3 linked regions of the Lytechinus pictus genome follow. The protein of the gene in region 1 purifies or fractionates together with the protein of each later gene. This does not show direct contact. Links are inferred from orthologs where the notes say so. Each region holds a gene or a part of one and is shown on either strand. Other genes may lie near its edges. The genes, in order: heat shock protein HSP 90-beta-like, activator of 90 kDa heat shock protein ATPase homolog 1-like and serine/threonine-protein phosphatase 5-like.

Evidence for each region.
Region 2: the proteins of heat shock protein HSP 90-beta-like (region 1) and activator of 90 kDa heat shock protein ATPase homolog 1-like fractionate together in Caenorhabditis elegans (co-fractionation; 3 studies listed by BioGRID, with this or other methods). This does not show direct contact. The link is inferred for Lytechinus pictus from reciprocal best matches to the Caenorhabditis elegans genes hsp-90 and ahsa-1.
Region 3: the proteins of heat shock protein HSP 90-beta-like (region 1) and serine/threonine-protein phosphatase 5-like fractionate together in Caenorhabditis elegans (co-fractionation; 3 studies listed by BioGRID). This does not show direct contact. The link is inferred for Lytechinus pictus from reciprocal best matches to the Caenorhabditis elegans genes hsp-90 and pph-5.

The regions. Positions count from the first base shown.
Region 1 is NC_087251.1:7,016,446-7,027,784, reverse strand, and holds the start of heat shock protein HSP 90-beta-like, read left to right. Parts: upstream 1-3,970; 5' UTR 3,971-4,367; intron 4,368-5,026; 5' UTR 5,027-5,057; coding exon 5,058-5,219; intron 5,220-10,426; coding exon 10,427-10,633; intron 10,634-11,035; coding exon 11,036-11,195; intron 11,196-11,339. Other genes in the region: uncharacterized protein LOC129266063, read right to left, coding at 348-356. UniProt on the Caenorhabditis elegans protein: Molecular chaperone that promotes the maturation, structural maintenance and proper regulation of specific target proteins involved for instance in cell cycle control and signal transduction. Undergoes a functional cycle that is linked to its ATPase activity.
Region 2 is NC_087251.1:28,026,655-28,037,993, reverse strand, and holds the start of activator of 90 kDa heat shock protein ATPase homolog 1-like, read right to left. Parts: upstream 6,178-11,339; 5' UTR 5,816-6,177; coding exon 5,736-5,815; intron 1,622-5,735; exon of another isoform or gene 1,582-1,621; intron 699-1,581; coding exon 619-698; intron 182-618; coding exon 71-181; intron 1-70.
Region 3 is NC_087251.1:45,942,887-45,954,225, forward strand, and holds the start of serine/threonine-protein phosphatase 5-like, read left to right. Parts: upstream 1-5,273; 5' UTR 5,274-5,318; coding exon 5,319-5,454; intron 5,455-9,868; coding exon 9,869-10,038; intron 10,039-10,555; coding exon 10,556-10,627; intron 10,628-11,339.

The sequences.
Region 1 (11,339 bases):
CCGGGAAATTTTTGGCTCTTGCCCCCCTCCCCCCCCCCCCCCCCTGGCCACCGACCATTGTTACGCCCCTGGCTTTATAGGCCTAGAATCTTCTTATCGCAATAGTACTGATAGTATACACTAAAATAAATTGTGACCAAAGCCAAAGGGCATTAGCAACATTTTATCACGATGGTTATTCTAATTCTTCCAGAGTAAGTGCTGCCCGAAGTGATGCTTCAAGATGATGAAGTCGAAGATTATAAACGCACTGGTTGTCTTCTTTCAAGTTCAAAATGATCTGGGATATAGAAAATAGGCCTACATGAATCAGTGAAACTGGAACATACACACATTGCAATACTCACGTACGCCATGAACAGCTACACGCACAATAATATTTAAATCCCAATATGGTACAGTTTTTGCAAGATGTAGGTCCTTTGTGAGACCACATTAATATGCGTACAATGTCATGTCGCAAGTTTAATGTTCGCCACTTGCACTGTGGGGAATCCCAGCTGGGATTCCCGCGTCTATGGCAAACCGTTTGTGTAAAAACTATATAAACTCTTTTTTTCTCAGATAAACCGAGTTTATCTGAAAAACTGTGTTTATCAACTGATATAACACAGTTTTTCACAGATAAACTGAGTTTATCAACTGATAAACTAAGTTTATCAACTGATAAACTTAGTTTTTCAAGAAGAACTTAGTTCTTCTTGAGAAAAACTGTGTTTATCTGAGATAAACTGAGTTTTTCTGAAAAGAACAGTTATTTGAGAAAAACAGAGTTTATCTAATTTTTACACAAACGGCTTGCCATACGCGTCATGTGGAAATACCCAATGTCAAAGCAAGGTCAGCACATGAATTGCACATTGCTTTTTAGTGGATCCACTGTATAAAAAAATAAGATTGACTAAGATCTAGTCAGGAAAATCTATCAGAATTTTATTTCAGAACCGGGAAGTAATTTTAATGCTGATAGATGCTATAAATATGGTTATTAAAAGAATTTAAGTTCTTGGTCTTTTTTTAAATATTTATATCACGCATAATATCTGTAGCTATCGTATCCTAAGGTTTTGTTTGTTTTATTTCCGAAATTATAAAAACACAATATAACATAAACAATAACTCACAAACAACAACCATGTCCATGATAGTGTAGGCCTATATGATATGGTTGGATGGCCCGTGAGAGCTGATATAATATAAATCTGTGTTCAATCATGGGATGGGGTCTGACATAATGATAACAATATACATAAACAATTGTATAACATAGGCTATGTTATAGCATGTTTGTTTTTATGTCTACTGTATTATATGCCTATATAAAACAACCATACATACCAATAACAAATATCACAAGAAGATAATAGACTCAGTCGCATGTCTCCTCCGGTGTCCGCACGGTGTGTCGAAAAAAAGCCGTTTTACGGATTTTTATATAAACTCAGGAAGCTGGTAAAAAAAATCGTAGGCCCCCTTCGCGAAATTGCGGCTCAACAGTGGCGTAACAGGCGGGGGGCAGGGGGCAAGCTGCCCCCTGGCGGATTTCACCGGGAATTTTTTTTTTTAACGGGAAAAGGAGAAAAGGGAGGAAGAGAGAAAGGGAAACAAAGAAAGGAAAGAGGAAAAGGAAGAAGGGAAAAAAATGAAAAGAAAGGGCAAGGAAATAAATAGGGAAAATGGAAGGAAAGCGGGATAAGGAACGAAAGAAGAACATGTGACGGGAAAATGGGAGAAAGAGGCAAAAAGAAACAGGAAATGAAGGTAGATCCGAAAATCAGAAGAAAAGGGACAAGAAAAAAAGAGAAAAACTTAATAACCCGACCGAGCTGCCGAGAATTGAAAAATATATAGAACGGGAAGAAATGTGGATGGCATCTAAAATAAGCTTGCTAAATTATATGCAATAATTAATGGTCGCAATCAGGACAAAAAAAATCTTTAGCCAAGGGTTAGCCAAGGGCTAGTTATATCCCTCTATCCTAACCTAAGTAAAGCTTTCCGCGGGGCTTTGCGCTGGCTAGATTTACCGTAAAAGCCTTAAAATTAATGTTCACTTTGGGTAAATTTCCAAAGCTACTAGAATAAAATCATATTAAAAGACCAAATTTTTCTGGCTCGATTCGCTCGCTGGAGACTTTACAAATTTTTCCATATTTGCTATGTTGTGCTGCCTAAAAATATTTCGTTCATTATCAGCGATTTGATAAAAAAGTGGTCATTTGCGATTTTATTAAAGGAGAATGAAACTCTTGGAGCAAGTTAGCTTTTGTGAAAGCAGAAAAATCAGAGAATAAGATCAACAAAATTTTGAGTAAAATAGGACTAGCAATAGAAGAGTTATGAGCATTTGAATGTCGAGATCACTAATGCTATGGAGATCCTCCCATTGGCAATACGACCAAGATCTATGATGTCACAGATGAACAACTCTCCCCTTTTGGACACTGAAAATATAGCCCAAAACATCTCTTTTTGCTCATTCTAATCATATGACAAACGATTCATCAATGATATAATGTTGTGAAACCTCTGTACTTGTCCTCTCATAAAGAGAACACCTCACCTTGTGATAGACTCTATAAAAGTGAGAATATAAGTGAAATAAGTACTAAAGTAATGAGGGAGTTGTACGTGTGTGACATCACAGATCTTGGTCGCATTGCCAATGGGAGGAACTACATGGCATTAGTGATCTCAATATTCAAATGCTCATAACTTTCTTATTATTCATTCAATCTTCCTCAAACTTTCAACAATATGTTTCTTTGATTTTTCTCTTTGATATGGATTCAGCTGGTTTCAAGGGTTTCATTCTCCTTTAAATATCGCGAGGTTCCGGGGGCTCCGCTCCAGACCAGTGGCGGCACCAAGGCGGGAGGCACGGGGGGCATTTCCCCCCTGTGAGTTGCCCCCCCCAAAAAGATAAGTAGATAACTTGTTCACATCCAATGTTCAAGTCAATATTTATTAGAGTTTTCATTAATCGTTAATACACATCCTGCGTATTCATAGTTTTCATATATCAAAAACTTTTCAGCTCGTGCTACGCACTCGCATCAATTGTTTGATTAAATAGCCATCCAGTTCATAATTACAAAAAGTGCTTGGAACGTCCAAGGAAAATTAAATTTTTTTTAAATTGCATTGATTTGAATATGGAAACACACACACTAAAGTGGTCTGAATCTATATTTCTTCAGCAAAAAAATTAAAAAATGAGGTGGGACTAGAAAAGTGTGAGGAACTAGTCTATATAGAAACAGCTTATTCATTTTCCTGATTTCTCGGTTATCTGAGCGAGTTAAAGTATTTTTGCCATAAACCATATATAACTTAAAATGTGCTCTTCCTCAATTCTGATTAATTTTCAAAATTTATCTGTTTTTCTGTTATGATACACACCGATGCGATTTGTTGCCAACATGTGGAAGATTCAATTACATTTTCCTTTCTGTAGCTGTGCTTGCACAATCAAAGTTTGATGCGCAGATACATTAGCGATAGAGAATAAACCATGGATCATACTAGAACTATTTATGATTGGTTTGGTGAACATTATAGCACCAATTTGTGCAATTGTTGGAAATCGATAAATACATCTACCCTACCCCCCAAAAAAAATATCGTGATAAAATGCCGCTTTTTTACAAAGATCGTGCATACAATCGGGCATTTAAATCGATGAATATTCAAATTGAATCTGATTGGTGAATTTTACCGCTTTATTTGGACGAAAACATTTTTCGATCGGTAAGCAGTACATGATACTTTTGTATTCTTTACATTTTTATGGATACTTTATTGGTGTTGCTAGTAGTAAAATATATAATAACTAGTTCATCATCGCTTTTTTATTTTTATTTTGCAAGAATAAAAATCAAATTACACGACAATAATTTGACTTGATTAAATATTTACCCTCAATTAAAGTATTGGAAAACCCTATATCCGCATCCGGTGTCGAATATGCTAGAAAAACCGAAGCACATCTGATAATGAACATATAGTTCTCAAAGGAAATATAAAAAAATAAAACCAGAAATTAAAAATTTGAGTAAAATTGAGTACGATTTTATCTATGTTCTTGAAAAATTAGTTAAAATACAATTTTTGACTTCATAAGCCTAAAATATTGGAATTGAATGGCCGCGGATTAATATCAATTCATCCCCGCGCCAGTGCATGCAGAATGCAATTCCCATATGCATCCTCGGCGCCGCCTCGCCATATTGTGTGTCGGATCGGTCGCACATGTTCATATCCATTCATTCATTAATCACGCGAGAGTGTTTCGGTGCCGTAGACTGTCTTGACTTGTCCTGCTCCTGACGAATCTTCTAGAAGAGAATTTTCGAGAATTTGAAGAGGTAAGTTAGGTATATAAGATCTTTCTACCTGAATTCTAAGTTTATTCTACATTATTTCCTTATTCAACTCAATTGACTAAGTCAGACAAGTGAAGTTTGGATCGGGTTTACAAGGGCAGGCTTGACTGGGAGTTGAATTGAAGTTGAATGAATCTGGTCTGGATATTGTGAAACGCTTTGTGACAAAGTTTGTCTAAATTTGATTTAAGATCTGAAGAGTGGTGAGATTTATTGTGTCTTTATTGTCTAGATATGATTCTTGATCATGGTTTCAACTAGCCTAGTCTTACTCTTACTAGTCTGATCAACTTTTGATAGATCTAATCTCTAATTTCTAAAGCCAGACCTAGAATCTAGATCTGTTTCAATTTCATCAAAATTTTGCTCCTTGTCTGGCATGTCTGGGGACATTTTTTTCAAAATGAAAATTCTCTTTTAAAACTTTTTAAATAAAAGCAGTGTTTTTTTAAAATATTTATGCTGGGGGGGGGGGGGGCAGTCAAATATTTTGCTGTATACATGCGTGACCAAAAAATGCTTTTAAAGGTTTTTTTTCCAGTTTTGTACGCGGAATCTTTGCCCATGGCATACTATGTCTATAGCATAGGTCTAGCCTAGGTTAAAAATCTGTGGTAAAGTTTTTTATTCTTTCATTGCAGTCAGTTTTAATACAGATCACAAAAAACCACCATGTCAACTGAAACCAAACGTCCAGAAGAACCAATGGAAGCTGAAGAGGCAGAGACCTTTGCCTTCCAGGCAGAGATTGCTCAATTGATGAGCCTCATCATCAACACATTCTACTCAAACAAGGAGATCTTCCTTAGAGAGCTCATTTCAAATTCATCTGATGTAAGTTTGTTTCATCAATTCCAAATTGCAGCGCATGCAATAATATTGGATAGGGTAAAAGGAAAAGATGAATTTTCTTCTTAACTGAAAGGTGTGTACACTCTGGGCTCTGGCAGAAAAATATGACAATCAAAACACTGAAAATTTGATTAAATTTTGACAAAGATAATCAAAGTTAAGACAATTTTAAAAGCTTGACATTATTTTGGTGTTAAGTTCTTTGGATGTCTTCATGAATATACATTTAGCAAATTGATGTCATATCCTCACTTGATCTGTCTATACAAAATTATGTTTATTCAAATAAAAAAATTTGGACAACTGGTATTCTTGCTACAAGATTTTTATTACATGGGAGACATCATACACACATTTTCTCACATAATAACATAAGAAAATAGAAGGTGGGGCCCGGGGGGGGGGGGGGGGGGTACTTCCATTGACGAGTGGATACCATGCGCGACCATGGGGTCTTGAAAAGCACCCTAAACACGTATTTTCGTCGGTTTTACCTTTACCTACATCATTGGGTTTAGTACAGCCACACCTCGCGCAAATCATATTCTAAACACAGTGTTGACTCTTGGGGCAAAAAGTACGGTACATCCTTTATAAAACATTTTAGTCTTGATTTTTTATACTTTTTTTCAGCATGGAGTACCCCGTTTACTTGTCCCCAATGTTGGAATGTGATAAACTTAAGTTAAGGAAAGATCTAAAAGTTTTTAGATCCGATCTATTCTAAGCCCAGGATTATACAGCCTTAAAATTTCTAGATTAAAAGTTTAGTTTGACCTCAGAAGGCAATTCCCGGATAAAGTAGGCATTGTTTCAAAATTTACTTGCTTTTCCCCCAAGTTCAGAACGGTTTCATTTTGAATTTCATTTTGAAATTTTAGAGCACCCCTGCTATAATTCATATACGATCTTCAATCCAAATGTCTAGATATCCTTGGTCATAGGAGGATCTGAACCACACAGCAAATTAGTCATTTCAGAGTACAGTTCACTGACTTTTAAAGAAACTAGCTGTGTTCGTTAACTAAAAAGAATATAGAGTTCTACTTGGACTTTGCATGAGTCACCTTCCATAGATTGAATAATCACTTGTGAACACCAACTGAATTGCTGAGAAGGTATCTATTTAGAACTGGAAATATGATCAGAGATTTGTTGATCTAATACTGTAATAAAATAGAGATGTAACGATTGAAATTCCATGTGGATGCATTTGTCAAACATAGATATTTGTTATTTTTTTAACTGGGACTTACAACAAGGGATAGGTCTTACTATATCATTTTAGCCTTTAAGGAGATCAACAAACCAGAGAGCAAAATATTATCAGCTTGGTCCATGGACGGGAGGATTATTGTAACTGTACGATGTACAAACAACAAAACTATGAAAAAGCAAATCAACTCAAAGGAAGACCTTGTCAAACTTATATGAATAATTTTGCCTTAAAGGATGATAATCCTTCTACTCTTTTCACCATAGCATGAACACTCACTTTATAATATAAAGTGAAATGACTTCCAGGCCAGTGACTTACACTGCAACTCACAGTTATCATCGAAACATTTGTTATCAATCTCTTCAGTTTTTGTATTCTGTTCTATTACATTGTCTTTTTACTTTTTACATCCTAATTTGTGTACTACTACGAAATTTGCCTGTTTTACTCATATTTTGTCACCTCTTGGTTCAATTTTGCATAGTATACCGTTCGCTAGTTTTAAACATTTTGTTCATTTCAACTTTTCTATTCTAAGTGTTTATTTGTAAAATGTTTGTAAATCCCTTACCTATTGATACTGACACAATGTTACATTTACAGTATGCTGACGACAGCAACAATTCCTCTGAATCTTGTTACTATACTCCAAACCAGTTTAATAATTGTAATATCCTTAAAAATGAAGATCCTAAGAATATGTTTTCTCTTTTACACGTTAATTGTCGGAGTGTTCCAAAGAACTTTGAAAACTTATTAGTATTTCTCAATAGTATTGACCTTGAATTTACAATCATTGGCCTTTCTGAGACATGGCTCAAACCTAATTCACATATACCTCTTTATTACTTGGAGAATTATGATATGTTAACGAATAATCGAATATGTAAACAGGGAGGTGGAGTTGCAGTATATATTAATAAATCTCTAGCATATAAACAGAGACCAGACTTAACGTACATGTTTGAATCTCTAGAAACCATATTTATAGAGGTTAAACCAAACAATAACTCACGCTCTTGGTATATTATTGGTATAATTTATAGACCTCCCTCAGGAAATGTAGATGATTTTATTTGTAAAATGAATTGTATTCTGAGTATTGTCAATAACGAGCACAAAAAATGTTATTTGCTTGGTGATTACAACATAGATCTCAATGATATGAATGCTTCTCAAACCACCAAGAACTTCTCTGACTGTATTAATACCAATTCTTTAACGCCGCTAATAACTGTACCCACACGTATTACTGGTCACACTGCAACCCTCCTAGACAATATATTAACGAATGATGAAAATAACTTAATGAATGGAGTGTTTGTTTCCGATGTAAGTGACCACTTACCTGTTTTTATCATCACTGAAATCCCTTCCTCAATAGATAGTCTTAGCAATGCTTATTCTAAACGGTCAATTTCAGACACTTCCATTGCAACCTTTTACCATAAACTCTCTTCCGTCAACTGGCCTATTAATGATGATGATCCAAATAGTAGTTATGATAGATTTTTATCAATATTCCTTAAATTATACAATGAATGTTTTCCTATTATATCTGCTAAACATAAAAGCTCTTTAAATAAACCTTGGTTCAATAAACATTTAAAATGCCTGTCAAAGAAGAAACTAAAATTGTATCGTAACTACCTTAAAAACCCTTCCGATAGCAATAGAGAGAAATATAGGTCTTTGAGAAACATTTTTACTAAAGAACTACGCAAAACAAAGAAAAAATACTATGATCAGCTTTTCAAAGACACCAAAGGTAACTCATCTAAAACATGGAAAATATTGAATAATATGTTGGGTAAAACTAAAAGGTCAAATCATACTACTTTTGAAAATAATGGAATCACCCTTGAAGATGCAGAGGTTGCAACTCAATTCAATGACTATTTTATTAATGTGGCTCCTCTTTTACTATCAGAAAACATAGGATCAACTGATCATGATTATTGCCCTCCTCTACCAAAGAACCCATATTCTATATTTTTTACTCCAATTAAATACTCTGAAATAATTGACGTAACCAGCAAACTAAAGAATGGAATTAGTCCTGGATTTGACAGTGTAGATGTTTCCATTGTAAAAAAAGTAATCTTTGTCATATGCAAACCACTTTGTAAAATATTTAATTCATCTATAAATAATGGTATTGTTCCTGACCAATTAAAAATAGCAAAAATCGTACCCATATATAAGAAAGGACAAAATAATGTATATAGCAATTATAGGCCGATCTCATTATTGCCCATATTTTCAAAAATATTAGAACGATGTATGTATAACCGGATCTTAAATTTTATAAATAAACACAACATATTATATTGCAATCAATTCGGATTTAGACCACAACATTCAACTTCATCTGCCCTTATAGAATTTATTAATTATGTATCTAATGCTATTGACACCAAACAAACAACTATTAGCTTATTTCTCGATTTATCAAAAGCCTTTGACTGTCTTGACCATAAATTATTATTGTATAAACTTAACTGCTATGGAATAAGAGGTACAGCTTTAAAATGGGTTAACAGCTATCTGTCGGGGCGTAAACAATATACTACATATAAGAAGCATAATTCTGAATCTAAGATCATAATGCATGGTGTTCCTCAAGGGTCAATCTTAGGTCCCCTTCTATTTTTAATATATATAGATGATATCAGATTTACTTCAAAAAAATTGCATTTTACAATATTTGCTGATGATACAACAATTTCCTTGTCAAATGATAATGTAAATAAATTATGTGAAAATCTCAATCAAGAATTAGTTCATGTAGAAGAATGGTTAGTCAAGAATAAACTCATAATAAATATTTCTAAAACAACATCAATTATATTTTCAAATCGCCACTTCAATCCCAACGATGTTAATATATATCTCAGCAGTAAGGAAATTCTACACACATCTTATACAACATTTCTTGGCATCCAACTTGACGATAAACTCTCCTGGTCCAATCACTTTAATTATTTATGTTCGATTATTTCAAGAAATATAGGTGTAATGAATAAATTAAATTTCCTTCCCCAAAACATATTAATCAACCTTTATTATTCAATGGTTTATCCCTATTTAACTTATTGTAATGTTGTATGGGCCACCGCAGCCAACAATAACCTAAATATGTTAAGATTATTTAAATTACAGAAAAGAGCAGTAAGAATAATATGTAAGACTTCATTTAATGCTCACACCAGTGTCCTATTTAAAAGATTAAAATTCCTGAGTGTATTTGACCTTTATAAACTATCCCTTGGATCATTTATGTATTCTTGTCACAAAAAGATAATTCCTGAATCATTAAGCAGATATTTTTGTCTTAATATTGCTACCCACTCTCACCAAACTCGTAGACAATTTGATTTTCACATGCCCTCCGTCCGTACTACTTTTACCCAAAAAACTATAATGTATTCAGGTCCCAAATTATGGAACTCTCTCCCCCCTACCCTTAAAAATAGTTTATCCCTGAATAGTTTTCAACGTCAGTACAAAGAAATTATGTTAACAACGTTCGCATCCAATAACTAAGACTACATGACTATAATTTCTGTGTTTGCCTTTCTCCTACACTTATTCTCCCTAATTTCACCTGTCGATTTTCTGTGACCCTCCACATACGCTAGTCCTTTACCTTTTTTCTATCATTTTCCTCGAAAGGCAAACACTTCATTTTAACTTTATTAATGTTTGTTTTCCCTTGCATTATTTTGTCTTTGTATGTTCTATTTTGTATCCCTTCTTTTTCTTTCTTTACTGGGCTGGAACTTCTAAGATCTAACAGATCTTTAATGCCAGTCCACACTCGAAGCCTGCTCTGTACACTACTTTATTATCACTTTTGTTATTTTGTTTTGTTCTTGCCATTATGTATTTCTTATTTACCTGTATGTATGTTATTTTTATCGAGTGAAATAAATGAATTGAATTGAATTTTGATATTCCATGTTTATAGGCCTTGGACAAGATTCGCTACAAGTCTTTGACTGACCCCAGTGAGATTGAAGCCGAAAAGGATTTCTCTATCAAGATTATTCCCAACAAAGATGAGAAGACAATGACTATCATCGACACAGGTATTGGGATGACCAAGGCTGACATGATCAACAACCTTGGAACTATTGCCCGATCTGGCACCAGGAACTTCATGGAAGCCCTGCAGGTATGCGTAAAAACTAATCGCGATTATGCAGGGTTTGAATTGGTCGGAGGTCATAGCTGTAGATGACTACTCATTTGTGGTGTAATATAGAAATATGACTGAGATAGAATAGTGGCCTTGCCTCCAAAACAGATACATTTAAGGCCTGATTTGGCTCTACATTGCATAATGGTAATATGAAAAATTTAACATTTTCCATGTTTTGTGGCTGTTGGAAAGAGTAAAATACAGCTGAAAATATCACTGAAAATAATGTGTTTGATGAAATGGTACATGTGTTAAACAAACAATTTTAATATATTTTTAGAGGAACTTATGCTGAACATTTAAAAGTTATCAGGGATTATTAAGTTCTCAATGGTGAAATGAAAATGTGGATTTTTTTTGAAATTCTCATTTTAGGCAGGAGCTGATATCTCCATGATCGGTCAATTTGGTGTTGGATTCTACTCTGCATACCTTGTAGCTGAGACAGTAACTGTCTACTCAAAGAACAATGATGATGAAACTTACATGTGGCAATCTAGTGCTGGTGGCTCTTTCACTGTTCATAGAATTCCAAGTAAGTCATTTAGGTCTGCATGTGGATTATAGTTAAAGGGGTCTTTAAGCTTGAAAATTATGTTACTTGAATCAGACAGACAAAACCGACAACTGAAAATTCTTCAAATTGGACAAGGAATAAAAGTTTCATTAAGTTTTGCAT
Region 2 (11,339 bases), about 21 Mb from region 1:
ATTTATCAACCCTTTATAGCAGAAAACAAGACAAAAAGGTAATTAGGTTATGGATTCTGCTCAAACCCACCTTTCCACTTCAACTTAACATCCCATTCATAAAAGAAGATCAGTTTTGCCTTCCGATTGCTGGCAGAGGCTTCACCATTCATCTCCTTCACTTCATAAATCTCACACTGACCTAAAAAAAAAATCAAACCGAAAACAAGGATAAGAATTTTGGAAATCCTAAACATTTAATACACCTGACCTGTATATAAAATATTTTCACTCGGCAATTTCAAACTAAATCACAGGGGCTGCAAAATGGTTTGAAAGTGGGGGGCTGACCATAACCCAATGGCTTCACAAAAGTCAAGCATGCAATATTTTCATGTCTTTGTTTATTTCCTCAAAATCTTCACATAATTAGTTTAAAATTCCACATTTAATTCACCTGCTCGAATCTACCTTGTCCTTCCATTACTGTCATTTCAAGAATGATTTCCAATTGAATTCTGATAGTTGTGTACATTCCATAAATGTGAGAAAAAAGCAAAAACAAATGGGTTTAATTCTGATGAAGCAAAGAACAGCATTGTGAAATTAATAAAATTTCTCTAAGAAATTACAACTCACCCCTTTCATCTCCAACCTTGATATTTGTAAATAGTTCAGTCAATTTCTCTTTGGACCACTTTGATGCATCTCTTTCTGTCCTGTTAATAGAAAAGTATCGACAACATCAAAGTATAACGCAATAGGTTTTTTTAAATAATATTTTCACTCTAAAAACAAATTATCCATATATCAGATGGTAAATTAATTTGTTAAAATACCATAAATATTATTCTGCATGTTACGAAAACATGACATCTAAAATCTGAATTTTCTTTGCAAAATGCAAGACCAAAGGAAACGCTTTGCCGATTTATAGGCAGATACTCAGATGATTGAAAAAAAAAAGCTGCATGGTTTCAATTGTCTGGCTGGCAGTTGGCATGTAACGACTGTGCAATTGTTTTCCATGACAAAAAGACGAGATGATGGATGCGAAAAGATCTATAAAATCACTCAGTTATTTTCTCACAATTCCTAAAACAAACTTTTGTTCTAGCATTTTGAGAAGAAGTACAACTACAAAGTCATATTTGGATAATCTTTTGTCAAAAATCATGATTATCAAATATTTACACTTTTAATCTATATGCAATCTGCCAGCCAAGAAATGCTTTTCTAGACCTTGTTTACATGGAGAATATATGATATATTCTCCATATTCTAGACCTTGTTTACATGGAGAATATATGATATATTCTCCATATAAACAAGGTCTAGAAAAGCATTTCTTGGCTGGCAGATTGCATATAGATTAAAAGTGTGCCCTTTATTCAACATATAATATGTTGAATAAAGGGCAGGGGCTGTTGAATCGTGACCAAAAAAACATGCCGATATACTGTATGTATGTACACCTAGAGTAAACTCCCCAAATATTGGATGGTTCCAAATATCGGACGAAAATGACGAACAACTCCTTCCCCACAACTACAGGGACCAGAACTGGCAGGGGACTTGCATGCATGTGATACCTGAACATACCTGCAGTGCTATTTAACAGCACACACAGTAGATCCAGGTTGCTGCTAAAAAAAATATTCCAGTGGTAAAATCCATGGGTAAAATCCATGATTTTGACTTCCAAAGATTCTTATGAGTTATGACCCTCGCTAATTATGGCCTCCAAAAGATCAATGACCCAAAAAAATCTCGTAAGGGGGAAGTGATTTCCACCAGAATTATCGCCGCTGAGATCGCACATGTCTGATCTATCGCAAAAAAACGTGCTGTAGGGGGTAGTGAAGTGGAGCCTACACAAACATCACTTGAGGTAAATTATAATATAACATTATAATGAATAATATTTTCTTCTTTCCCACTACGTTTCTCTTCCTTTCTCCCTCTTTTTCTCCTTTTCCCCATTTTTTTTTTTTTTTTGGGGGGGGGGCACTCAGTATATAACGCGTGGTAGGTAGGTGCCGCGGAGGGGACCCCATTTTTACACTCAAATTTCTGTTCCAAGGCATAGCATTTTTATTTTTTTTAGAAAAAGAAGAAAGCTGCTCCAAAGCATAGCATTTTCTTCTTATCGAGAAAAAAGAAGAAATCCGTTCCAAAGCTTCTTATATTTTTCATTACGCCGTTCCAGCCGCATTGATCCGCTACAATGAGCTGCAATTTTGGCGAAAAGCGGCCGCAGAGCACTGTCCGACCATCGCCTCTGTGCGAGCACACACGGCGCCCATGCCGCCGGGCTAGCTGCATGCACGTATGCCCGTTCCATAGGGATGCATACGCACTCACACGCAGGCGACCCGTTCCAAGGACCCCCGTTTCACAAACACTTGTAGTTCCGAAGCCCGTTCCGAGGACCCTCCTTTTTACAATAAGCCCGCTCCAAAGCCCCCGTTTTTTGTCTCGCCCGCAGCACATACCTACCACTTTTTTGGTTGAGTACCCCCCCCCCCCGGGCCCCCATACACGTAGTTACACCACTGCTTCTGGTAGTGGTAGTAAGTAAATAATTTTTTCAATTCAATTTTTTATGACATTTAATATTTAACATTTGTACTACAGAAATAGATCTATGGCAGGGGGTCCTAAAGCTGCGCGGGTCCTAAAGCTACGCACCACTCATCGCGCATGCAGTTTTTATGGCAAATGCGCACTCTGTGTGTGGAACTGTGACTGCAGAGTGACGAACGATTCCTATTCAATTTTTTCTACAGAGGCTGCAGTAAATCTCTAAATCAAGGCTCCACATTAACTTTTTTTGGTGGTGGCCCGTTCGGGCCACCAAAACCATCAAAATTTTTTTTTTGGTGGCCCGATATTAAAGTTTGGTGGCCCGAAAAATATAAAGAAAAACATTAAAAATGAATAAAACAAACTTCTGAAATATTAATTCTGCAGCCACTAGGCCCTACCACTATGTTACTTTTACTTTATACATGTAAACCTTGTTTGCTGTTATTTTACTTTGCTAATTGATAAATGTTTCTATCGTTGTAAAAATGAAATGATTGGAAGAGAATAAATTAATTGTATTGTTCGCAGGTTGTGTGGACTTTTTTTTAAATCTCTGTATAGAGATAATGGTAAAGTAAATAAATAGTGCATAGCAAATTCAGATAGATGTACAAAACAATGGTTTTTCCTTCCTTCCTCTTTGAATCCTAAAACCTAGAATATGCATGCCCCAAATCCAGTTTATTTCTGTTTTCTCTTTTGCAGCATATTATAGAAGGAGAAAATCACAGAAAAATATGCTGCAAAATTAGAACAATGCATAAAAGGGGAAAACAAACGAAAATAATTTTCAAAAAGTATATTACAAAAAGAAAACAAAAATAATAAAAGAAATTAGTGAAATAAAACAAAAAGAAAATGAAGAAAGAAAAAACAAAGAACAGGGAAAAAAAGAAAAGAAAAAAATTAGAGAGAAAAAAGAAAAGAAAATGAAAGAAAAATTAATAAAACAAAGTTAATAAAAAAATGGGGAAAAGGGGAAAATTAAGAAGCCATTACATATATTTTTTAACAGCTGTGGCAACAGTCTATTCTGACTGGAATATAATTAAAAGCCAAGCAAATAATTTTCACTTACTTTTTGGGAATGGCACATTTTTATTTTTATATCCTTTAGTTTGTATTATTTTATTTTCAGTAGAAACATATTTTTTAATCAGGCATATTCAATGGGAAGGGGTATAAATGGTTTAACCACTGTCAAAAAAAAATGAAAGGAAAAAAAAAAAAAAAACGGCAAAAATTATATCTGGAAAAAAAGTGTGAGAAAAGTCCTTCCCTATATTTGCCAAAATGTTGGGGAAAAAAATCACATTTCATATCAATGAAATGCCTTCCCAAAGTATTTACTTTCTCAAGAGTGGTTTAAGAAGTCATTTATAAACAAGAAAGAAAGAAACTGTCTGTTTGTTTTTGGCTAGAAAATACACAGCTTCGAAAGAAACCAAGTATCAACATACATACAAATGCACACGTGGGACTGTGATGTACTTGCCTATGTGTTTTATGTGTATTAATTCATGTGGAAATCGGTCTTTTTGAGTCAAAAGAGAGGTCATAATTCCTCTTCTTAATACTTGCAAATAATCAGGACACACCAGATTTTCGTAATATAGACTGTAGAATTGCATTTCATTGGTGTAAAATGTGACTTTGACTGAGATTTTCAAAGTTCTGTGGAAGATTTCTCAGCAGCAACATTTTTTATCGCAGCTCCCTGAGTCTGAATAGGCTGAGCTAGATCTAGAGCACAGCTGTATGCAGTGGCTTCATGCAAAGCTCACGCCAGCCGGCCGGCGCGTCTGGCTGGATAATAGCTACTGTATGCTATAGCTGTAGGCCTAATATGCAAACTTTGTGTGTGTGTATTTGTGTGTAGATCAACAAAAAGGGCGCATGACGAACTGGCTTGCAATTTGAGCTGTAGAAAGTTGATAAATGCGTGCAAAATTGGGAGAAAAATTGCGCTACTTTGAAAATTATTGGTTGCCCGATTCGGGCCACCAAAACTTAACATTTTATCAATAATGGTTGCCCGAGGTGAATTTTTGGTGGCCCCGGGCCACCGCTAATGTCGAGCCTTGCCTAAATGCAGAGAAACCAACAACTGTTTGGAATTTTGGAGTTATATTCGCTTAAATTTCATTTTTTCCTATAATAATATGAATATATTTTGGAAATTGAGGCACAGGAAATACTATTTTTTTGCATGATAAATCGAGTGCGTAGCTTTAGGACCCCTTCTACATCGGGTGGCGAAATCAAGAGGTGTTCGGAAAACATGGCGGGATTTTCGTATTAGTGAGTTTTGCGATATTTTCTTCTTGGTTAATGATCTTTAGAATGTTTGCCACAGATTAGTGAAAGATATTTGTTGAAATATTAAAATTGGGATAGTTTTTATCGTTTGAAAACAAAGTGCGTAGCTTTACATGTAGGTCCCCCCATCATACACATGATTTTTAATTTTATTTGGTTCAATGATTGTATTTTTGTTTCGGTCCAATTATGATTAGAAGTGTCCGATATTTGGGCACTTTATTCAATATTCATAATCATATTTCAAGATTTTCAGTTTCAGAAATATCAAGACGGAAATTTAAAGAAAAACCATTGCAATTAAAGATGAACAAACTTTTACTAAAGACTTTTTTAGAACAAAAATTACTGCAGAAAAGCTTCACATGTTGTCTTGTTGAATTTCGGGAAGCTAGTAATAACGTAGTGGTAGTAGATCTAGATCTAGTACAACAATTTTATCACTCTTTCATAACTTTTGACTTTCAAAGAAACTCAGTCATGACGTGTTTTATTTCTTCATTTTCACTTAATAACAGCTTAAAGTTTAAATTTCAGTCCAATTTTAAGTGCGCAGACAATCAACAAGGGGGCATCCATTCATCATCATATGCTGTAATTTTAAAGGACTCTGCAGCCTATCTCGAAGATGAAACGACATGCGGACATGGCGCAGCGCTCCTTGTTCAAGTTGACAAACACATTAGCAAGCAAACGCAAGTTACGAAGCGGACACCACAACAAGGCAACCGGTCAACCCAGCCCGACAGGCCCGGCACTTTAATCTCCAATGGGTGTTGCACTAAGTTCTAGTACGGTACGAGTACCTTACGACTACGGCTACGCAGCTACGTTCGAAAAAAACTTACCAATGCCAATTATTGACGTTTGTGGCATCTGCTCGTTCCTCCACAATCCATCGAGGATCTCCTTGTCCCCACTTAGCCATTTCTACGGAAATATATGATTTTCCTTTGTATTATATCGAATAGTAAGAATGAGGCCAGATATCGAAATCTACAGCTACCAGCATGAAAAATCAGAAAATGCTAGAATTGTATACTTTAATAGTCTTATTTAATCAAACACTTAATAATATTATTTTTACTTACTTTTTCATACCTTTACAATATATTGCTAGCCCTTTAATTTTGAAATATTATGATATTATATATATTTAATTACCTTGATCTATGTTTATACGTAATCACATTTTTTTTTAATGTAAGGTTTACTTTTAGTTCTATCGAAATTTTAAGAAAACTGTCTGTAATGTAGTAGACTAAAATAATGACGCAAGGGTTCTCAATTACTGCACATGGTACACTTCCGAATACCATCATCAGGCGCGGATCCATCAGGGGGGGGGGGGGGGGCACAGGGGGCACGTGCCCCACCTTTTAGAAGCAATTAAAAAAAATGTAATGTAAAAATGCCATTAAAACAGAGATGTGCCCCCTCTTAAGAAATTTAAGACCTTTTTTTTTTTTTTTGCTTGTCAATTTTTTTCGGGTACGAAATATCCTTTATTTGTGGTTGAAAACTTTCTTTTTGGGGGGCTTGTCAAAATTTTCCTCCGAAAAATTTGCCCCCTTTTGGAAAATCCTGGATCCGCCCCTGACCATCATGACCATAATAGTTCGAGTTATGTATATACCATATCTCTATGATTTAACTAATTACTTCGAGCGCGAAGTGAGAGCTGAAACTTTTGATGAATTGTCATAAAGATGGATTTTAAGTAGTTTCAGAATTCATATAGAAGCATAGCAGGGCTTATAGTACTAATGAAAATGCGAGCACGCAGCGCCATGCAGCTGATAAATTTTGACGATCAGACTTGAAAAGGAAGATTTTGAGAAAATATGGAATACATGAAAAGAATAAGTACTTGAAACGAACCATATTTCATTTTCGGATTAACGAACCTCATTTCGTTTTTGGAATAACGAACCTTCGAAATTACGAACCTTCGGAATTACAAACCTTCGGAATATTGATCAACCTTCGGACTATTCGAACCTTCGGAATAATGACGCGTCGGAATTACGAATGTATGCGTTTATAAAAAGTATATAGCCCGTGATGTGATAATTACACACCACTTGAAATTTTTGGCTAAGGGGTTTTGGCAACAGTCTTTCTTCCACCTATATACTGAAAATTTGCTAACTCTCTATACTCACTCCCATTATCCAATAATCACACCTTATAAATGACGATTTTGGTCATCGTGTCTTTCAACTACTAAATATCTGCTCGCTCGCATTGGGATATTAACTAACTTAGTTCAGTAGTTAGCCATAAAAAACAAAAAAATGATGAGAGGCCTTTAACTGAAAGGTAAACGGATTATGTATACGGTTATAAATCCCCGTATACATAGCCCCAGCATAGTTGTGGGGGTGCCCCCCATTTTTTTAATGTTCAGGTCAATTGCTTTCACGCCCCCCCCCCCCCCCACTGCTCGGACCGGATTTACGTCATGTGATTCATACACAGGCAATATTTTATAGTTAAGAAGGAGTTGAGCAGTGTGCGCTCTGAAACCAGAATAAGATATCATTCTTATTACTCTTTATATATATATATATATATATATATATATATATATATAACTAAAGTTCTATCTAATAAATATTTATTTGAAGACCCCCAAACGATGGTCCCATAATTGAGAAATGATAATATTAAAGTGTTATAAAGCATTAAGAGAATATTTTGTGGGACAAATTCACGTAATCTTTTTTTAGACACCTATATTTCTAGAAATGAGGGATTTTATTTTGTTAACATGACTTTTGCATTTTTAATTTTCATCAATATAAATTCCAAGAAAATTTTAAACTCTCCACCCTTTCTACTTCAGTATCATTTATACATAATTTAACAGATTTTTCATCTACTGCCCGGAAAAGCAGTAGATGGCAGGTTCCAATCCCACTGGTTCCAACTTATGATGGCAGATAGCATGCGATCTTAAACTTATAAGAGTAATGCCGAAAATTTGTTCACAAAAATACATTGTTTCTACTGATGATCATAAAATTTGTTTTCTGAATATTCAAAACTAACTTAGTAATAGGGTCCATGTCCATCCCTGTACTTTATTAAGTTTGATATTTCATATTTTGTTGTAAATAACCTAAGTCACAGCTGTGGCTAAAAAATATAAATATTTGTGTCGTCAGCAAAAAGAACAAATTTTAATAAACTAGAATCCGGGGGGGGGGGCCACTTCCATTGACGAGTGGATACCATGCGCGACCAAGGGGTCTCGAAAAGCACCCTAAACACGTATTTTCCCAATTCTGAAAATGCACCCCTTGACAAGTATCGGCGTCTGAAACCCTACCCTTAACAAGTATTGGAAACAAAACGATACTCTTGGCAAGTATTCCCTGAAATGAACCCATAAACAAGTACAGCGATATTTGATTGTTATGTCACGAGTCCATCGGTCGTCGGTTTTACCTTTACAGTTTACACACCATTTGGTTTAGTACGGCCCCAGCTTCCACACCTCGCGCAAATCGGACTCTAAACACGTAGTGTTGGGGCAAAAAGGACATCCTTTATAAAACATTTTAATTTTGTTTTATCATCCCCGCAAATTTGACCCTAAACACGTAGCTTTCCTAGCGAAATAGATACCCTTTTTTCATTATTTTTGTGTTTTGACACACCCTTATCACGTTACGTACGTAACGTGCCCTATCTTGAAAAAGACATCCTTTTTACGTGTTTTTTTGGTCGCGCATGGTATATCCACTCGTCAATGTAAGTGGCCCCCCGGGACTAGAATAGAGATGAAGATCATCAACATAATTTTAAGAAACAGAAGAGGACCGAGGATTGAACCCTACGATATGCCTATTGATACTCTTTTGAACTCAGAGTGGCATGAATCATAAAGGACACATTGCTTTCTATTACTTAAATAATAAGTTCGTGTATTAATTTAAGGGCAATACCTCGTATTCCATAAAAAGATAATTTATTAAGCAATATGTCATGGTTAATACAATCAAAAGCGTTTTTAAGATCAATGAATACTCCAAACGTTATTTCGTTATTATCATAAGGATTTATAATGTCATTTAAAGAATCTATATCACAGCATCAAATGTACAATGTTTTTATAAATTATGATTAGTATTGAAATATGTAATTAGTATAATCTCATTTCTCCAGCATTTTGGAGACACATGATAATAAAGAAATTTATCTATAATTTGAGAAAACATTTTTTTAACCAGATGTATATACATATTTACAACTTGTGATATTTCAAAACTATCCTGAAATATATAAATATATCTTCCTGAATGGGATACTCAACATGCAGACAGGCTACAAAAGAACATGGCCTAGGATCTCTGCCCATCAGTGTAACACAGTAGCATACACAAGTCAAATCACTCTAACCTCAGGCCTTGTTCGAGGGGGCAGGGGCAAACATATCGATTTGCTCCCCCAATAATTTGGATAATATAGTATTCAATGTAAACATATGTTTGAAAAAGCATCGGAAAGCACCATGAAAGCATTATACTTGACATTAAAATCACGGGCGTATAAATCCGGGGGGGGGGGGTGGCGGGCACCCCACCTCCCACTTTTCGGAGAGGGGGTGGCATGTACAAGCATTCCCCACTTTTCAAGACAGAAACGAGATTTTTTTAATCATCAAATACGTACTATACGGTTCATGCGTGTATTACGTGGATGCATCTTTAAATGCAGTCAAAGTGCTTAAATTTGCCCAATTTCTCATTCTAAAAATGCAGCAAAATTTCTCGCGCGGTCGCTCCGCTCCTGCGCTCATTCTTACAAGATTTTAGCCATGACAAGTTCCTACGTTTAGCATATTGCAAATGTTATAATAATGCAGGGCCCGCTGGGAGAACAGTTTTCAGAACTGAAGCGGCTTCCCTGGGTAAATATACCTATATTATTATTATATTATATTATTATCCCCTCCATCCCCCGGGGGGGGGGGGGCACTTATTCCATTGACGAGTGGATACCATGCGCGACCATGGGGTCTCGAAAAGCACCCTAAACAAGTATTGACATGTGAAACCCTTCCCTTAACAAGTATTGGAAACAAAACGGTACCCTTGGCAAGTATTTCCTGAATTGACCCCTAAACAAGTACAGTGATATTTTAATTGTTATATCACGGACGTCGGTCGTCGGTTTACCTTTACCTATATACATTGGGTTTATTACGGCTCCACCTCGTGCAAATTGGACTCTAAACACGTAGTGTTGGGGCAAAAAGTACATCCTTAATAAAACTTTTAGTCTTAATTTTTATACCCCCGCAAATTTGACCCTAAACACGTACAGCTTTCCTAGCGAATAGATACCCTTTTTACATTATTTTACTGTTTTATGACACCATTATTACGTTATGTACGTAACACGCCCTATCTTGAAAAGACATCATTTTTACGTGTTTTTTGGTTCGCGCATGGTATCAACTCGTCAAAGTAAGTGGCCACCCCCCGGGCCTCCATCATGAGAGTATGGTTTTAATAGTAGTATTACGTCCATTTATGAATTGCATGATACCAATTACTCATTATATAACTTTGATCATAAATAAATAAAAACATCCTTTGAATACACTGGCGTGAATGGGGGGGGGGGCATCTTTGTGGAAGCGGGGGATAATTTTTACAAAAATATAGGTATATAAGCTATACGTCTAGTTATAAGAGTACGAATAGTTACTGATGGTTGACCAAATCAATGCCGTTACTGAAACACAGAGGCAAAAGAGGACAGCAATATTTCTCACTCACTTTACAATTTCATCCGTTTATAAGAGACTTTAAATCTTCCATCACAATCTAATAAATATTTTAAATATGAAGTTTGTTCCAAATTTTGAATGTTGAATCATCTCCTAATATAATCTTAACGATTAATTATTCAAAATCTTTCCTTTCTGCAATATTTTTCTTTTAATATTTGCATCATTGTACTATTTCCACGTTTTTGGAAGTTTGTATTGTGGCCTGATGACCTACAATCATTATAAGCACCCTTAATTAATCCCGATAATTATGATTTTTCATTCTCATCTCACCTTTGGCCAGTGAGCAAATGAGTTTTTATCGAACAAAATATGGACTGTTTAATACTTGTTTACTCTTTATATTTCTTTTTCCTCAAAATTTTGGATTTTCAGATCATTATAATCATTGCTGTCACCCCCACTGCTCGGATTTACGCCAGTGATTAAAATACTATTATACATAGAAAATTGTCAATTTTTCGGAGCTCTTAATTCATGTGCAAAATTCTGTTAAAATTTGCATGACCCTGCTTGGGAAGCGGGGATTTTCCTTAGGGTATAGCTGCATAGGCAGCACCCCCTTAATGGAAGATGTGTAAACATGGAAAAATGTATCCAAAATGACCTCCATTTCTTAGTAAAAACTTTTTTGTTTGTTTTGCTT
Region 3 (11,339 bases), about 39 Mb from region 1:
TTCGACACTGAATCGTGCACCCTTGATCGTGTTTGTGTTTTGTAATTGCGTTTTCAATCATGATTCATGTTGCTGTTTAAATTTGAAAATAGACATTGAACACAACCTTAGTCACTATCTTGGGAAATGTTTTGGTATAAAAGATAAATGACAGTAGCAGTAAACAATGATTTTATTAGAAAGTCTGTTAAATCAATGTTAAGTGTCACCATATCATCTTAGATCTCGATCTAGTGGTTACATAAACTGAAATTTGTGAAATCATTGAATCTAAGCTGAAAAACGATCCCATTGAAGATCACCTAGACAGAAATGTACATGTAGGACAGTGTATTTATTGATTGGTAAAAGACCCAACCAACAGGTAAAACCAGGGAAATAATCACATTATCATTTTAAGCAGGGCCCGCTTGGAGAATAGTTTTTGGAACTGAAGTGGCTACCCTGGTAAAATATGAAGTCATTTTTGTTCTTAATTAATGAATTATTATTATTTTAGATAGTATTTAGCACAAGAAAGGATAAAAATGCATAAATTCATAACTTAAGAGCAGCTTTATGAAACACCCATTCATTGACCGTAGAATGAATTCTCCTGGAGTCCACAGAATAATTACTCTCTCTATTTACCCTTAACAGGTTCAAGCTCCGCGGGATACACCACATCATATTCTACCAGCTTCCCACCTACCCCCACTACTACAGCGAGCTGTGCAACATGCTGGAGACGCCAACAACAGAGGGCGCTATGAAGGAGCACACCTGCAGCGTACTGTACTCCAAGTACGACGCCCTTCGGTTGGGTCCTGTGGTAGGACTGAAGCGAAATACTCAGATGATGAACTCCGAGAAGAACGTCCACATGTTTGTCTCTGAAGATGTCTGATTGTTTTATAGGGATAGACCAGAGAACAGAAGGTGCAATATAAGGAAATACCTGCTATGCTCTGCTCTGATTATATATGTTGGTCTTTGGATGGAGCCAAGCTGGTGGTTGGTATCAAAGGCAACACCGAATTTGGAGAAGAGTGTCCACATCTTAGTGTCAAGAGATGCTAGTGGTTGGAATCAAAGGCAGAACTGAACTTGGAGGACAGTGTCTACATCTTAGTGTCAAGAGATGCTAGTGATTGGCATCAAAGGCAGCACTTTACTTGGAGAAGAGTATCCGCATCTTTGTGTCAAGAGATGCCACTGGTTGGCATCAAAGGCAACACTGAAATTGGAGAAGAGTGTCTGTGTCAGAGGGTCAACAGATGCCAGTGGTTGGAATCAAAGGCAACACTGGACTTGAAGAAGAGTATCCGTATCTTAGTGTCAAGAGATACCACTGGTTAGTGTCAAAGGCAACACTGAACGTGGAGGACAGTGGCTGCATCTTAGTGTCAAGAGAATGCCAGTGGTTGGTATCGAATTCAACTCAACTAGGAGTTGAATGTTCTCATCTCTTTTTGAGAATATGCAAGTTTAACCCCTAAGCATGATTCATATTATGAGCTGTGAGAAGAATGTCCATATCCTAGTGTCTGATAAGGTACCTTACTGAGAGAGAAGATATCTGATTATCTTGGGTGTCTTCTGGGGAGCGTTTCATGAAAGGACTTGTCGGACATTTTATCCGACAAGTACTGTTTTATCCGACAGCTACTATGGTAACAGTGACTCTCATCCAATCATTATCAAGGAAAGTTGTCAGATCTGACAACTTGTCGGACGAAAATGTTGATGAAACGCCCCCCAGATCCTGGTTTTGTTTGGGGGTGGTCAGGTGCCACGTAATTGCTGTAATATATCAGGTAAATAATGTTTTTTTCAGATTCAGGTATTTTCTCATTGTCTCACCTGCATAGCAGAAGTGAGAGCAGTGCCGGTTTTCATGATGAGGGCAGCATCATTAATTTACTTCAAATTCAGTTAATATTTTCTCCTGATGGTGCACACTGGACACTCCCATTAAGGTTTGTGCACAGTGCGGCACATATCGAAAAAAAATCTTCTTTGCACTGCATGTCCAATAACACTTGTAGTTCTGCGTGTTTCTTATATCAAGTTGGCTTCCCACAAGAAAGGACTTAGTGGTTATTTTTATGATTGTATTTTTTTATTATTCCCTTTTTTGATTTGATGATATTTTGAGTGATACTTGAAATTTAGAATCAACCTTTACATCATTGGATAGCCTACAATGTGCTCTTTCAATATTTGAAATAAAAAAAAATCGTGAAAATTACCCCAAGTCCCTTTCTTGCGGGAGCCAGCAATAATGTTTCCTCCTTATTTAAAAAAAATATCAAATCCAATTATTTTTTTGTATTCCTTGAATCTTGTATGAAGATAATTGTGTCAAGTTCATGCTGCCACTTTGAGAATTCATAATTTTGTATGAATATGTTATCAAATTTCAGGATTTAAATTCAATTATTTCCATTGCCAGGATGCTTTTCTAAATGACCCACTTTTCTATTACTGCATAAATTTGTAAAATTGAAAGGAATATAAAAAAGTTTCAAGCCCAATGAAAGAGGCTTTTGGTCCAATCAGCAGGACCATGGCAATAGTTATCTTAGATTAATTCAATAATTTATATTCAAAGAGTAAATTAAAGTGAGAGCGGAGAGAGTGTATGATATTTTAATATCACAAAATCAACACTGCTGCTATACTTGAATTGTGTAATGCAAGTGAGACTGCCCGGGATGAATCACTTGCTTTTCAGGAAATGCTCATGAAATTTAGCACACACATTTTTTGGCAATGAAAGAATAAAATTTCATGGTTATATTTTGTTGTTGCCGAGAATATTTTGTTGATCTTAGTGATTGCACACTGAATAAAGACTAGTCTTCCTCATGTTTCAAATAAGTTTATCATAATAGAAAATAATAATTGACGATATTTATGGAGCTTATTTATTGTTAAATATTTCATTTTAAAGATCTCGATTGTTGCAAATGAAAATGTGCTGGTAATCTATTATACATTTGATATTTTCCTTTTGAACATTGTAAGAATAATGTAATATGGTTTGCCAAAGATTAAACCATGTAATCAAACATGGTTGCTATGTACACTAATTATCCTAGGAAGAAAAGTGAACGACACATGCTGCATGATATGAGTACAGTTTAATGTGTTTTATATTTATAACATTTTCAATATATTGAAATGCATGAAAAATACAATTTTGTGAGCTTGAAGATAAGCAAAGTAACTAAATGGACATCACGTTACCCATGGTAAAAAATAGTTGGGGGTTCACACCTAGATGTTTTATTATTTTCTTTCGAAATGGGTATTTTACTTCAATTTTGGTACTCTGATTTTAAAATATTTCTGTGACAGCGAACATTTCCAGATTGCCTTGACAGTGGTAGTTGAAGTTCCATCTTTTTCATCAGTTTTAAAACTGATTAAATTATCAGTTACTCTGATTATATGCTTATTTTTAGTACTGTAATATAAATTCAGTATAATGAATTTTGATGGAAAGATATATGGCATTTCATAAAACATGCATTCTATTTTCTCACAATACTTATTGCAATATACCAAAGTAAATGGTGTCAAAAGGAGAAAACCAATTTTGTATATTTTTTTTTGTGAGAAAACAATGAAGTCAGTGACAATGAAATGATTAAATCACAATAAAGTACACCTTATTGGTATTTGAATGATACATCAATTGGGTTTTATGACTGCTGGGTCCCGTCTTACAAAGAGTTGTGATTCATCCGATCAACCTTAATTCATCCGATCAACCTTAATTATATAGAAATCCATCAATATCATAATTGTTCCCACTAGAAATTTGCACAATGTCCTTTTGTAAACGAAGAGGGGCATACTGAATCGCCAAGAAAACAACGGGCCCCAAGTTGCCCCAAGTTGCGATTGATTGCAACTTTTTCTGCGATTGATTACAACTCTTTCTGCAATTGATTGCAACTCTTTCAGGGGCCCGTTGCAGAAATAGTTGCAATCAATCGCAACTCTAAAATCATGCGCAACTTGATTTTCAACCAATCAACAGCGCGCATTTGGGACTTGTGATTGATTTTTGGACTTGCGTTTAAACGCAACTCTTTCTGCAACGGACCCCAGGGTCACCATTGTTGTATAGATATGTTTTTTTTTTATAGCACATGTTTCCCTTCCATTGCCCATTGAACAGACCAACTCTGAATCTGTCCAAATGCATCGGATATCATTTCTTTACTATCAAAATTAATTCAGGGAATCATTATTTCTATGTTTTTGATTGAAATTTCTTGGGGTTTATTGTAAAAAGTTATATAAAGATTGAAATTCCTAAAACATTAATGAACAAATGTGATTTAATGACTTTACGTATTTCATGTTTTTAATGTTTGTTGCTTGTAATGTGCTTAGTGTGCAAGTGAACCAACTACAGTTTTGAGAACAATAATGTTAAGTGATGTATTGCCCTCAAAACTAATGTCGTTATTGTTAACTATCACCAACTTTTTTTTTTTTCATTAAGATATTAGAAATTTAATTTCCCTTTTTTTAATTGCACCCTGTTCAATAATAAATGAAGTATTGCAATATGTTAATTTAAGTCTGTTATGCTGCATACAGTTTTTGTTTGTCCTGTGAAGTATTTAGCATTTTCTGTAACTATTTTTGGTTTCCTGATTTCATAACAAGTTTGGAAAATTATTTTCACTTTTATGAGCGAGAGAATGGAGGAGAGGGGAATGAGAAAGAGAAAGGAAAAAGAAAGAATTAAATTTAAGAAAAAGAAAGAATTAAATTTAAGAAAATGGAGGAGATGAAGGAGAAGAACAATGAGAGAAGATGAAGTGGTGAATGAATATGAGGAAGAAGAATAAGATGAGAAAAAAACTATGTATAGCTAGTGGAAGAGAAGAGTTTAGTTTTTAAACAAGCAGGATAAGGAGAAGATAAAAGGAAAGGATGAAAGAGGACAGAAAAGTGTAGGGGTGTAAGTTAGAAACGTGGATGGCAATATTCAAAGGGGGGGCAGTTCCAGAGGCTATATATTATGTTTACCAAAAAGGAAAAAAAGAACCTTCAAATCAAAGTTGTTATCCATTGTTTACTCCATCATGCAGTCACTTCACTCCATAAATTTTCTAAAATGTATGAGCAAAAGAAAAACTTTGCTTGTCTATACTTAAACTGTTAATCAACATTACACCTGAACTCATAAAAGATTCTCATCTCTTCACAACCATAAAATTGCTTCACAACCTTTTCATTTCTGATTGTCCGTCGAAGATACCGTACTCCAATTTAGAAAAATACGGAAAAATACATGGAGAGATTTCACGTGGATGAAGATGGCAGGTACCGGTGATTCATCGAAAATAAATGCGATTCCTGACATAATAGTAGACAAGCCAGAGATCAGTGATGTCGACAGAGAAAAAGCAGAGGCTCTCAAAGATAAAGCTAATACATTTTTCAAAGGTAAATCATGCAATTTCTTGAACTTTAAAAGTGCAATTGAGAGGAATGAACGTTGCTGTGAAGGGAAGTGCCATTAAACTGTTGATATATCATGTATATAGGAACCGGTACCGTACGGCTCCTATACCAACGCGTGCGATTTCTTACGCACGTAAGCGAGTACGAGATATCACGTTTCCATGTAGGCATCAGAAATCCGTCTGTTTGGAGGAATTTTAAATATGTTTTTTTTCACATTTAAAATATCTCCTACTAGAAGAACACCCAACAAATAGAAACTGGAGCTTCTAGTCTAGTTTGCTTGATAATAATGTCTTTTATGATACAAATTTCTCAGCTGGCTGTTTCGAGGAGAATTTGACATTTTTTAATTTTTGATTTCCCCTCAAACTCGGCTTGCAATCGTGCAGCCTCCATTAGGGGGTTAACAATACAAAACCGCCCTAATGGGCTCTTCAATTTTTTTTTTCTTTATTAAAAAAAATTAAGCCAAGAGAATGAAAGTTTTAGATTTGCATCCACCGCCCGCATGAAAATTTCATTATTTCAAAAAAATTTAATTATTTCAAAAAAAATTCATTACTTACTCTCCATCACTTACTCTCCATCACGAAATTACAAGCAGATCACTTCATGACTACGTTGTCGCCAAAATAATTCCTTCGGACTGCGTGCGAAAGTATCGATAGTGATAACGATATCCGGTCACATTGTCTACGCAGGAAATGGTCTTGGTTCGTGATCGGATCGCTCCAGTATCGATCAAAAATTATCGAGACTCGGCAATTTCATGCATATTCACGCGACGCTCCGAAACCCGGAAATCAATTGACTTTGTACACGTTGCGATAGACTCTACAAACTCCAACGAACACGATGCCATATCGACGCTAATTCGTAAGATTTTGACCGAAAAGCAAGAAGTAATCAAAATTCACTTACCTGTGCGGTATTGGTGAGAAAATAGATCCTCCAAGAATACCTTTCATAATTCATATATAATATAGGAAAGTGAAATTCTAGGTTGATTTTGGTACAAGGTGATAGAGAATTGCACACTTGTTTTGGTGGAATACTGTGTGGGGCTATGGAAGGCTTGCAATGCGCATGCTTACTATATTTTCATTCATAAATTGGCTCTCGGCAGTGGCTGGATGACGTCATGTAATAAGCAAAATGTACACGCCTGCTAGCGTTGAACGCACCGCTATCCGTTCTATACAATTTGCCACTGTACAGTAATGTTTACATACACTATATGCAAGTAGATAGCAAGAATATCGTCAAAAGTAGGTACTAGAAGTAAATAATGAATAATGAAAAAAAGCCTCATGTCATTTGAAAAATTTTCGGACGCAAATCTAATACCTTACTACTCATGGCCTTAAAATAAAAACTCGGGCCTGGGCTAAGCTTTACCCCGGGAAATTGGTGGGGCTCAGGCTAAGCCTCAGCTTCCTTATGAAAGCAAGAGTAGATGTTGAAAAGGGATGATTTTCAAGAAGAATCTGTTTATCACATTTCCATTTTCTGCCAAGGTAACCCTTTTGCAGGAAATGTAAATAAAGGAAATAGGCCTCCAAAACTGGAGACTGTCTCTGCTCTGAAATTGGATACCCAAATTCTTGACAAAAGTCTCTGATATTGGAGATAATCTCCAACATGGGAGACAGTCTCCCATATTGGCTGTGTGCCTCTGACTAAAACGCGAATATGTAATTTGCACCAACTTTGAAGGTGTTGTTCGAGTGCTCAAGTCGAACAATTATGAGATGCACTAAAATAGCCTAAATGACACTAAATACACATTGATATACGAATACAATAAATGAGTAGACTCACCGTAAGTGATATCCCACGATGAATCCAATGACAACAATAAATACAGCACAAATCAGCAATAATCTGGCATAAAAGTGACAACAGCAATAGTATAGTTCAACGTTTAGGTTTGGTTCCGTACATCTGAAGGGGTCTCCAAAAATGGTGTCGCCGTCTCCAACCTCGGTCACGTGATGCCAAATCCTGGCTCTCGATTGGTCATCTCCAGCAGAGTTGCACCCGGCACTCGATCTGGGTCCACCATGAGGCAACCAGCAGCAGATGACAACAGTTCAGTAGTTGGAAACGCCAAAGTTGGCCTGGCTGTTTCCACTACAAAGGAAGCCCATTCGGGCTGGAATCCCCCAATATTACACAGTGATGTGCGACTCGAGTCTGTTTATGCCGGATTCAGTCTCGGACTCAAACTCGAGGCATGTGACTCGGCAACGAGACCGGGTTATTTCCCCAAAATTTCACATAATAATTTCAAACATCACTCATACAACAAGGCGCGACAAACCCTCTTGCCTGCTTCAGTCAGAAGATCCATCACTCTCTGAAGACCAATCTGCTGTTCGTTTGGTAGAGACTCTACTTCCAGAGGGCTGGACAAATGGCCGTCTTGATGCAATACCTGTAAGAAACCAACGTTGCACAGCAGCCTGTGGATCGAATTTTGATGGTGTTGGACTTTCTGATGATATCCTTAATACTTCTGTAATGATTGAAGTGCTGAGACTTAGTCTCCAGTCCTCCTGGCACCTCTTGATGGTTGAGAATTGCCTCTCCACCTGAGATGTCGATGTCGGCAGGACTAGCAGTATTCTTATGACTTGGCACAAGTTGCGGGATACATCTTCCTGGTAAACAAGAACATTCTTCCACAGATGGTGGAACTTCTCTTTCTGCGAGGGCTGGAAAATTTGCTGTTTGAGATTCATCCACTCAACCTCAACAAGGTCTACGTCACAGCCCTTTGCCATCAAGAAGGGTCTAAAGTGATCACACAATGTGTTGATTTCATCTATGCTAAAGTCTGCCAATGACTGCTGATCAGTTGGGATGGTGGATTGGATCCAGTATTTTTGCTGCCTTGATAACTGGGTCCATCACCGAAGTCAGCCAGCCTAGTCTCCAGGCAAGAACTTGCAGCTTTAAGAACCTTCACTTTGTTGGTCTGAAAATCGGCAACATCTTTCTCAGTGACCTTGATTTGGAAATCCTGGAAAGTGAAAGTTGGAGTCTCTTCTGCCTCATTCCCGTTCAGTGCCTTAGTTGAGGGCCTGGTCTTTCCTCCGTCCGATTCAGCCCAGCTTGCGCTACAAGGACATTGCTGACTACACTGGAAACTGGTAGATCATCCTTCTGAAAGCTAAGGGAAAGCTCTGCAATATGCTCCACCATATCCATGTAGCAGTTCATATGGAACACAAACTTAAAAGATTTCAGCATCTTCGTATAGCCCTTCACTTTTGCTGCATCAGCTGAAGAAATGTCTTTACGCTGACCAGATGCTTGTTCTTCAAATTGGCTGACAATGCAATGGTAGTTGGTAGCCAAGCATTTCAGTACTTTTTCGGCGATGGTCCACCTATCTGGTTCTCTGTGAACGACTTGGCTTGACTATATGCTTGTTCGGTGCTGAAGCCACAGCTTTCACTTCTCGCCACTTGGCAGACCTGCTGTAGATGTAGTGCACTTGCATTATAAGTTCGTCAATCTAAAAGTTAAAAAAAAAAGAACAGCATGAGGTAGTAATAACATGATTCACATTAAACACTTCACTCCATTCGTAAAAAAACACAGACAATCTCTAATTCAATGACTTCAGAAACATTGATTAAACTAGACACTAACCTCTTCTTCGTGAACCAATCCATGGTCTTGCACTGCTTTGCTTTGATTTTTCCCCATTACCCGAGTCTGTGCTCGTGGTGCTGCTACCGCAACCAATGCCCATTGGCTGGTGCACATTTCCTGAGTGACCGATGAAGTTAGTGTTAGTGTGCAAATTAATTCATGCAACGAGAAAATGAGGAACGTACCTGGGACAATTTCACCGTAAAGTTATAACACATCGGCACACGCATAGCAAACTGACTGCTGCGCATCTTTCCAAGGTTGGGGATGTTTTGGTTTTAGTGCAATCGACCCCCGAGATTTTGCTTCTATTATAGCATGCAGAATGTGGTCTGCGGTACGGTGCAAAACCCCAACTCATTGGGAGCTAGCTGGAGGGCTAGGCCAGGCTGTTGGTGTGAGCTGTTAACAGCAGCAACTCGCAGGTATTAGGGGAATGTGCACGAATCTCATATACATACATATACATGTACAATACATGTAGGGAAAATTCAAACATTTTGGAGTCTGATTTCAAAAATTTTACACAGTTGCACCATATCTCTTCAAACATGAACTGCTGTGATTGTTATTGGATATTTATAATCATGTTTTTCTCTTCCTATATTTCTTCTTTTTATTTTTATAATTCAATAACATCTATTTTCAGTTTGAACAGTAGATGTGTATTTTTTCAAATTTCCATGTATTTAAGTATTTTTCTTTTTATTATTGTTTTGAACCATTCAAGCTCAAGATTTTCAACAGGCAATCACCTATTACTCCGAGGCTATAGAGATCAACCCCACAGTAGCTGCTTTCTACGGGAATAGAAGTTTTGCTTACTTGAAGACAGAATGCTTTGGATCAGCGTTAGAAGATGCAAGCAAGGCCTTGGAATTGGACAAGTCTTATATCAAGGTGAATTATCATTTGCTTGATCATAAAATGGTTGCATAATGTTAATAAAACCAATATTACATCATTTGAAAACATAGGAATATTGAATATAGAGTTTGTTGCGATTAAATATACTGCACTGAAAGATTGAAAACATATTAACCAATACTTTTATGTTATAAATGATACCAAAAAAAAGAGGATAAAAAAAAAGAACTTTCGCTTGCCACCTGGAACATAAGATAATTTCCAATATTCAGTGTGATGATGTTTGTCACTTCTCTTTTTGACTTGTGTAAATCATTTTGAATATGAACGATCAAGTATTTTGACGGTTTTTAACCTACTAACTTATTACAGAATAATCATGTTTTAAACAAAAAATGATTGATGACTGTTATGAATGTGATGGAAGAATAAAAATTTCATTTATTTCTAGAGAATGTAATTTTTACTGTATGAAAATAGAAATCAAATTATTTCTCTATGCAATATTTATTGATTTATATTTTGTGTGTAAACATGTTTTTCTTTTCAGGGATACTACAGGAGAGCTACAGCTAACATGGCTCTTGGGAAAATCAAGATAGCGTTGAAAGACTATGAAATGGTAAGAAATTAATTTAATCTGTTAAAAAGCTGAAATTAATTTTATCTTTTAAAACCTGTGTAAAAAACTGTATGAAACAGTCATTGATGTGTATTATTCACAAATTATCATCCAATATTTTTTTGTCAGCTTTTGATTCATTTTGAAAAGTTGAATTTTGGATATAGAGCACCCTCTCAGTATTTTTTAAATTTTTTTGAATAAGGCAAAAATTATGCAGATATTTTTTATTTTACTCTTGGCTTTTGATGAATGAAAATATATAAATCACAAGATTTATTCAGTGGAACACATTATTTCATGTTCCTCTCGCCATAATTGGTTCAGGACATACACATTTATATGATATTATGAAAGAATTAAAATAGTAACATGCATGTTTGAGAGGGGGATGTTTGCCTTGAAAGGGAATAAAACCTTTGAAACAAGTTGAATTCATATAAAAGAGAGAGAGGGAAATAAAGGCAAAGGAAAATAAAGGGAAAAAAAAGAAGAAAGTTAAGAATGTTTGAATATTAAGATCGCTATTACTATATAGATCCTCCCATTGGCAATGCCACCAAGATCTGTGATGTCACACGTGTACAACTTCCCCATTATACAATGTATTTCATATACATTTTTTCTTACATCTAGTCTATACTCTGTAGTACGATCAGGTGTCCTTTTCTATGAGAGGACTTGTATTACAGGTTTCACAACAATATATCAT